Saccharomyces cerevisiae S288C: one gene and its partner. The protein of the gene in region 1 purifies or fractionates together with the protein of each later gene. This does not show direct contact. Each region holds a gene or a part of one and is shown on either strand. Other genes may lie near its edges.

What was found.
Region 2: the proteins of PUT7 (region 1) and FMP32 purify together in Saccharomyces cerevisiae (affinity purification with mass spectrometry; 2 studies listed by BioGRID). This does not show direct contact.

What each region holds. Positions count from the first base shown.
Region 1 is NC_001144.5:702,891-707,453, forward strand, and holds PUT7 (Put7p), read left to right. Parts: upstream 1-2,295; coding exon 2,296-3,240; downstream 3,241-4,563. Other genes in the region: YLR278C (uncharacterized protein), read right to left, coding at 1-1,134; RSO55 (Rso55p), read right to left, coding at 1,603-2,070; ECI1 (dodecenoyl-CoA isomerase), read right to left, coding at 3,308-4,150; NNT1 (S-adenosylmethionine-dependent methyltransferase), read left to right, coding at 4,470-4,563.
Region 2 is NC_001138.5:40,358-44,728, forward strand, and holds FMP32 (Fmp32p), read left to right. Parts: upstream 1-2,457; coding exon 2,458-3,081; downstream 3,082-4,371. Other genes in the region: GTPase-activating protein RGD2, read left to right, coding at 64-2,208; phosphomannomutase SEC53, read right to left, coding at 3,271-4,035; ubiquitin-specific protease OTU1, read right to left, coding at 4,298-4,371.

The sequences.
Region 1 (4,563 bases):
GACAAGCCACATTCTGCCGGATAGAAAATGAAATTCTATTTCAGAATACGAATGTGAATTCGACGGTGGTGCTGCGGAAGACGTGGCGGGAGAAGATGGTGGGATAAGAATCTTGTTGTGGAGGTAGTGGTCATAAAAAGTATAGATTTCTTGTTCGTCTAAGATAGGGTACTTGAATTGTAATCTTGTGAAAAAAGTGTCCAAGAAGGAACGTGACAGCTTCTCATTCAGTTCAAAAATAGGGTCATACATCAAAAACTCTTTTTTCAAATTGTATTTGGCAAAAATACACTTAGTGAAGTCCAGCGTCTCTAAAGGGTCATTCAAAAGGCTCGCGGATTGGCAGATAGCATTATTGTTGTTTATGTTGTTCGTACTGGCCGATGTATCGTTAGTGGCCGCATTAACGTTGCTGCCGTTATTGTTTGTGTTCTCCAGGGGTTTGTTGGAAGGAGATGGCAGCGGCAGTATGACCATATTGCTGCTGTTCGGTCTAGAGTAATCAGAAGTGTTGTTACTGAACAAATGAGAAACCTTCTTGTACTGGGATAATTCGTAGTTGTACTGGTTGCATCCCGGCGATAAATCGAGCAAAGTCTCCAAACTTTTTAGTTTTTTCTCCAAGAAAATCGTATACTGATCTTTGTCTTGCCTCATCAGGTTTGGATTGGAATTTGTCGTGACGGACTTTATCGTTTTCCTGAATTCATTCGCGTCGCCAGCATCAACATTACTATTGCTAGTGGAAATGGGTTTTATTATCGTCATGTCATTCAGAGAAGTGGCAGCGCCAGCGCCAGCGCCAATACTGCTATCTTGCAGCTCACGTTTTATTACAGGATGAGGTGTAGGAGGTACAGTGCCAGCTGTAGGGGTGTTGTTGTTGGTGTTACTGTTCGAAGTGGAAGAAGAGTACTTGGAGGGCTGCACGCACTTTATTCCTGCTTTCAAACAGGCGGTACAACTGGGTAATTTATGGTCGCATCGTTGCTTTCTTCTTCTACAAAGAAGACAAGACCTGGAACGGCCCTTTTTGTCTTGCAACAAGACGTCTGTCCTGTTACCGGCCAGCTCCAGTTCTCTCTTCAACTGTTGTATTTTCTCCTGGCTAACATTCTTCCTTGGACGGCCCATTATTATTTACGTGTATTGTTGGTAGTTAGCCCGAAGATTATGAGTACGTGAAATACACTTGTCTTTATGAAAGAGTGGAAAAATGGTGGGGAGTAAGTTATACTATTGACGTGTAAAAAAAAAAAAAAAAAAATGTTAATGGAACGACCGATCTAAAGAACCATATATAATGAATGACTAAAAAAAGCAAAATAGTTAAGAATCCAAGAAAGATACTAAGAAAAGGCGAAAAGAAAAAGAAAAAGTATGTCCGCTAACAAAGATTAGCGTATAAGCACCACACGATGCGATTCAGGTCTCAACGTGCAGTGTGCAGGAGCAGGAACTATTCAATGTATTGTTGTTCCAGGGTTTTTGTTCGCAACCCACGTCTTGACCGACGGTACCCGCAGGTGAAAATTTTAGCAAAGTTACACTTTTTTTTTCATTTTTTTTTTTCTTTTCTCCTCCATCTAATTTCACCTGCGGTTACCGGCGGAATAACTCGCGCACCATTTCTCTGTCTCGGGCCTCGCGTTCCTCTTTTTCGACTCGAGCGGCCTCTTCACGCTGCTCGTACTTCGCGACGCTGCGCCGGCGCTGCGAGCGTTTCTGTTGACGGTGCCACTGTAGAAGCGCCTCCTCTCTGGACGGCATCGTGTCGTACGACGCCGCAAGTTCGCGCGCGAGCTTAAGCCGGGCAAGCTTTCGATTTTGCTCACGTGACCGCGTTTCTTGGCACTCGACAACGATCCCAGTGGGTTCATGCCGTAGTTGTACCTTAGAATTACACTTATTAATCTTTTGGCCACCGGGCCCTCTGCCGCCATGAAGGAATTTCTCAGTGCATTGTGCTTCCATCTCTGGCGTGAACTTTGGTCGCGGTGGTAGCTTGTTCTTTTTAATCAGCAGCACTGCGGCACTGCTGATTGACCTCTTACTCGCTCCCCTCATCATAGTTTACTAGTCTCGGATTCTTCTGCGCTTTTTCCAGGGTCGCATAGCTTGTAGGTTGGTAGCATAGACTTATATATAAACTCATATCCGTTCTAGGAACGTATAGCGCGCTATGGTAGTCCGGGGAAAATGCACAGTTTAGTTAAGTGTATAGTAATTTTATCGATAAAGGAAGAATGGAAGAGGTTTATGTATACATGTAAACTCTGAACATCTAATAGACTAATGATGCGGTTAATACGTACATTGCCGCTTCGATGCTTCAAAACTAGAATACGGCGGCAAGGCTCGTTGTTGTGTTTGCGGTGCTTTAGTTCGTATTCAAAACCACTTTTGCAGAAATCAATGTCATTGAAAAATATCCAGTTATCAGACCTATCCTCATCGCCATTATCCAAGAACAAGGAGAAGCAGGAGAAGCCAGAGAAGGAAAACGAAGGAAAGCACTCCATTGGCCTGTTAGACAGATTTTCAGAGGACTTTATTACTCAGGGCAATGGATTGAAACCTACTACTTCACAAAATCAATTGGATACTATAAAGTTTTATCAAATGCTTCGTGAAAGAGGCAATTTTTCCGATGAACAATGTAAAATTATCATAGCTCTATTGTTGCAACTACTAAATGATCAGTTTTATTCCTGTTACAATGATTTGTTCTTAAGGGATATGGAGCTGAATAAACAATCACATTTGTTCAGCTCGCTAGAAACAGAATTGAAATTCGCAATTCAAAACTCTAGAGACACGCAACTAAATGAGCACCACTTGCAATTATTAAAACTCAAGAGAGAACTTAACTCAATCCATGATGAACTGAATGAAATCATAATAGATCTTTTGCAAAAGGACGCTAAATTAGAATTTAACAATCAAAAATTAGAAAACACCCTTTTGTATCGACAATTAAACCTGAAATTGAACGACTGTTCTAACAAGATTCAAACCAAGATACTGGGGGATATCAGGTCACATATCGAAAATTTAAGATGGCAGACAACCAGAAGCGGTCTTTTGGTAATATTAGTCCTTGTTTGTTCGATTATGATCGGTGTAAGCGCATCTAAGAAGGAACGCCCAGGTTTACAGGAACCTGAGGAACCTGAAATTTTAGCACCAAAGGAAGACATTGATACTACCTTCCCTCAAGATCAACATGATATAGATTAATTAGCATACATATTGTCTGTACATAAGTATATTGTGTGTGCGTTTTGTTTCACTGAGAAAGCGGACGTCATAAACGATGCTTCCTTTGTTTCGAGCCCAGCTGCCTAAATCTTTTTAAGGGCTCTCCATCTACCCAATACTTGAGAGATTCATTTACTTCCACTGAGTTAGCCTTATTGAATGCATCGATGTGGTTCGATTTCAGCAATTTTTTCATCCCTAAGCAACTGGGCAGGTATAGCCCTTTCACTTTCTCCCTCAATTCTTCTAAGACCTTTGCATTGAACGCTTCAGCGTTTGAAGATGGCATGTTAAAATTCTTGCTTATAAATCCGTTCTCGCACATTATATCGTACTTGAATGGTTTGTTGAACATGAGGCATTCATACGTCGTATTTGTGCCAAACTTCAATGGCAAAGAGACCGTTGTACCACCTTCGGTAATTAGTCCTAAGTTAGCAAAGGGGTATAGCAAATAAACCTTGTCATTTATACTGTACACAATGTCACATAACGCTACCAGTGCCGCGCTCAACCCTATTGCTGGTCCATTCAAACAGCAAATTAAAACTTTGGAATGCTTGATGAAGGCATCAGTGACATAAACATTTCTAGCGACAAAATTTGACACCCACTTGCTTGTTTCCGAAGGATATTTATTGGTATCATCCCCTTGGGCTTTTGCAATACCCTTGAAATCAGCACCACTGGAAAAAAATCTACCACTGCTTTGTATAATTGTAAAATATACATCACGATTTCTGTCCGCTAGTTCTAGTAACTCTCCTAAATAAATATAGTCTTCACCTTCTAGTGCATTCAAATTGTCAGGGTTCATTAAGTGAATAATGAAGAATGGTCCTTCAATACGATAACTGATTTTCTCATTTTGCCTAATTTCTTGCGACATATTGTTCTTCCTTCCTTTACTGTGCGAGCAATTTGTGCCATACACTCCAATTATCTATCCATATGTTCATCTTTCAGTTCTTATATATAGTGCTTCACTTTTATTAACCGCTCTTGGGGTAAAAGAGAAACGGTCACTGCTACAGCCTTTCGGAATAATATTTCTTATGCCCGTCGCCAATTTCAGATTCTTTCCTTCGTGCCGCATTTATTTTATTTTTCAAAATGACGAGAAGTTAAAATCTAAAATCAGGAAAAAGAACAGTTGCAGATGACGAAATACTTCGAGCATTATCGCAATAAATAAGGCGTGTAAACGTATGTCAGATATAGAATCATTGGGAGAGGCAGCAGGTTTATTTGAGGAGCCAGAGGATTTTCTTCCTCCTCCACCAAAACCTCATTTTGCAGAAT
Region 2 (4,371 bases), on another chromosome or scaffold:
TATTATGAAACAGGAATAATATTCCGTTGAATTGTAATAGATGTTGTACACCTGCAAGCGAGCATGCTATCATTTTGCGACTATTTTTGGTCTGAAGACCTTGTCTCAGGTCTAGATGTGCTTTTTGATAGATTATACCATGGTTGTGAGCAATGCGACTTGTTCATTCAATTATTTGCGTCAAGAATGCAATTTGAAGTCAGTCACGGGAGGCAGTTGTTTGGTATAGAAGCCGGTATGGACAATCTGAAGGCAGTGCAGGAAGATGAAGATGAAGGGGTGACAGTTTCGAGGGCCCTGAGGGGAATTCTACAGGAAATGTCTCAGGAAGGGACGCATCACTTGACAATAGCGTCGAACATAGAAAGTTTGGTGCTGCAGCCATTCAGTAAATGGTGCATAGAACATAGGGAGAGAATTCAATACTCCGAGAAGACTTTGTTGACCAATGTAAATAATTTCAGGAAGTCTAAAAAGTACGTCGGTAAGCTGGAGAAGGAATATTTTAATAAATGTAGGCAGCTAGAAGAATTTAAAAGAACTCATTTCAACGAAGATGAGCTAGCAAATGCAATGAAATCATTGAAAATACAAAATAAATACGAAGAAGATGTGGCCAGGGAAAAGGATCACAGATTTTTCAACAGGATAGCGGGAATAGATTTTGATTATAAGACAATGAAGGAGACGCTTCAGCTGTTACTGACCAAGCTTCCTAAAACGGACTATAAGCTACCTCTCATTAGTTATTCTTTGAGCAACACCAACAATGGTGGAGAAATAACGAAGTTTCTGCTTGACCACATGTCGTTAAAGGATATTGATCAAGCTGAAACGTTTGGCCAAGATTTGTTGAATTTAGGGTTTTTGAAATATTGCAACGGTGTTGGTAATACATTTGTCAACTCTAAAAAATTTCAATACCAATGGAAGAATACCGCGTACATGTTTGCCAATGTGCCAATGCCCGGTTCAGAGGAGCCTACCACTGGTGAATCCTTAATATCCCGGTTCAACAACTGGGATGGTTCATCTGCAAAGGAAATTATTCAATCCAAGATTGGTAACGACCAGGGGGCAGCGAAGATCCAAGCTCCGCATATATCCGATAATGAAAGGACGCTTTTCAGAATGATGGATGCGCTTGCAGCGTCAGATAAGAAGTATTACCAGGAGTGCTTCAAGATGGATGCCTTGAGATGCTCGGTTGAGGAGTTGTTGATTGACCATTTGTCGTTTATGGAAAAATGTGAGTCCGATAGACTGAATGCGATCAAGAAAGCGACACTAGATTTTTGTTCTACCTTGGGTAACAAGATTTCTTCGTTAAGACTGTGCATAGATAAAATGCTCACGCTAGAAAACGATATTGATCCCACTGCAGACCTTTTGCAACTTTTAGTTAAGTACAAGACGGGCAGTTTCAAGCCGCAAGCCATTGTTTATAATAATTACTACAATCCTGGTTCATTTCAAAACTTTGGTGTTGATCTAGAAACTCGTTGTAGACTAGACAAGAAAGTCGTTCCGTTGATAATTTCTTCGATATTCTCATATATGGACAAAATATATCCTGACTTACCTAATGATAAAGTAAGAACTTCAATTTGGACTGATTCGGTGAAATTAAGTTTAACACATCAGCTTCGAAACCTATTGAACAAACAACAGTTCCACAACGAAGGGGAAATATTTGATATACTTTCTACGTCCAAGTTGGAGCCAAGCACCATCGCCAGTGTTGTTAAAATTTATTTATTAGAATTACCAGACCCACTAATTCCCAATGATGTCTCTGATATTCTTCGGGTGCTTTACCTTGACTATCCACCTTTAGTTGAAACTGCGTTGCAAAATTCTACATCATCTCCCGAGAATCAGCAGGACGATGACAACGAAGAAGGCTTTGATACCAAGAGAATAAGAGGCCTTTATACTACTCTGTCCTCTCTAAGCAAACCACACATAGCGACACTAGACGCTATTACAACTCATTTTTACAGATTAATTAAAATTCTGAAAATGGGAGAGAACGGTAATGAAGTAGCAGATGAGTTTACCGTCTCAATTTCACAAGAATTTGCCAATTGTATTATCCAGTCAAAGATCACCGATGATAATGAAATTGGTTTTAAGATTTTCTATGATCTACTGACACATAAGAAACAGATTTTTCACGAATTGAAAAGGCAAAATTCAAAAAATTAGGACTAGGCGATATAGATTTGTATATAATTTTATATAAAAGGAAATATGTACATCATTTTCTTTCACTGTAGGCAGCTGTTTCAAGTTCTTTTTTTATTGGAGATATAATTATTTACATTATTGTTATAGAGGACACACGAAAAAGCAAGAAGGGAACTATAAGAAAAATAAAAAATAATGAAGAATACAGATCTGTAATTAGTCATTTCAAGTGAGCGTAATAAGTAAAGTAAGGTAGAACGGAATAAAATGCTCAAGCGTATTGTTGGATTGCCTGCAAGGCGTTGCTTTCATAGAACGTCCTTTTTGCTGGGCAGTGACTTTGAAACTGTGCATATTCCCAATACGAACCACTTTAAAGATTTACTTATAGAGAACGGTAAATTTCAAGAGGATCAAGCAACTACAATAGTAGAGATAATGACAGATGCAATTAGGGGCGGGGTTAATCATGTTTCACAGGATCTGGCAAAGAGAGAAAAATTGACCCAACTTAGCTATCAACAACGTGTTGATTTTGCAAAGTTAAGAGATCAGCTATTGAGTGCTGATAGAAGTGAATTTCACAATATTCAAAACGAGTACGAAAGTGTGAAAAACGATCTGGAGAAACTAAGAAACAAACTAAGGGAAGAAATTACCAAAACAAACGCCGGTTTCAAACTTGATCTGTCCTTAGAAAAAGGCAGAATTAGGGAAGAAAGTAGTCATCACGATCTGCAAATAAAAGAAATCGACACCAAAATTGAGCAAGAAGTGACCAATATGAAGATGCAGATTGATTCTGTCAAGACTCAAGTCATGCAATGGCTGATAGGTGTCTGTACAGGTACATTTGCACTTGTATTAGCATATATGAGGTTATTAACATAGTGGCGACAAGCGAGGAAAAAGGGCTAGACTTGGTACTTGAAAATTGCATTTACGTTTTGTATAACACAGTTCAGTAAGAGTACACATTCAATAACGTAGTAAGAGTATATTTATTTATATAAGAAGGATAAAAAAGAATCACCAAACGGATCACAAATGGCATAATCACGTAGCAACCTGGAAATAAAGCTATAAGTTGAATAGTTCAGTCAAAATTTTGACGGTGTCATCAGGGGATTGTACTGAATGTCCGATGGTTCTTTCATCGACAAAAATTTCGTAATCGTTACCACCGACCATAGTCTTGTCACCAAAGAAATGAATTTCCTTGAAACCATCTTTTTCAACGTGTTGCAAACAGTAGGTCTTATCCCAACCAGCGGGGAAAACGTCGAAAGAGATTTGGCCACCAATGGAGAAAGTCAAACCGTAGTCTGGGAATTCCTTTTTCAAAGCTTCAACGAACTTGGCTCTGATTTGGTGTTCCTTATCGTATCTTTCGAATTCGTTTCTTTCCTCAGTAGAAGCATTTCTACCAATTGGGGAAACGTTGATCATACCATTTCTAAATTCCAAGAAAGTACCTCTTCTCTTTGGCAAGTCAATTTCAGATAGATATCTCAAAATGAAGACGGCCAATTTATTGTATTTTTCCTCACCGAGCCAGTTGATGAAGGATTGAGAAGCTAATTCCTTACCTAATCTGTAGGCGGTCAAACCATTTTCAGAGAAAGAATAGTCAAATTCATCTAAAACGTTTGGGCCTAACTGTTCTAATTGCTTGCTTAAGTCAGAACCACCGACAAAACCAATGCAGCACTTGTTTCTCAACTTGGCCAAAGTTTTTCTAACTTCTTCAGAAACAGTTAATCTGGCTGGTGTCAAGGTACCATCAACATCGAATAAAACCAAAGTTTCTGGTTTTTCCTTGTAAGCGAATTCAGCGATACTCATTATTGGTGGTTATATTAGCAGATAGGTAAAAAAGGAGAAAGAAGTACTAAGGAAATTGTCGATTTAGTTTTCGTCAAAGATCTTATACTTTGCCAAGAAGAATAGACGATATAAACAGAAAAATAAGTGAAAAGAACACGTAAAAAACGGCACATTTTAATATATTTCAAATTTTTTTTTCATCAACGACAAAAGGAATGCATTTTATCCACTTTTCGTGTCTCATGACGAGTATACCGATAAACGCCAAATGCGTATTTTATTATCTATTTTGGCCAAAATCAACGTGTCCCGTGGATTCAGCGTGCCTAGCAACTTCTCTTTCACCCACAAAGG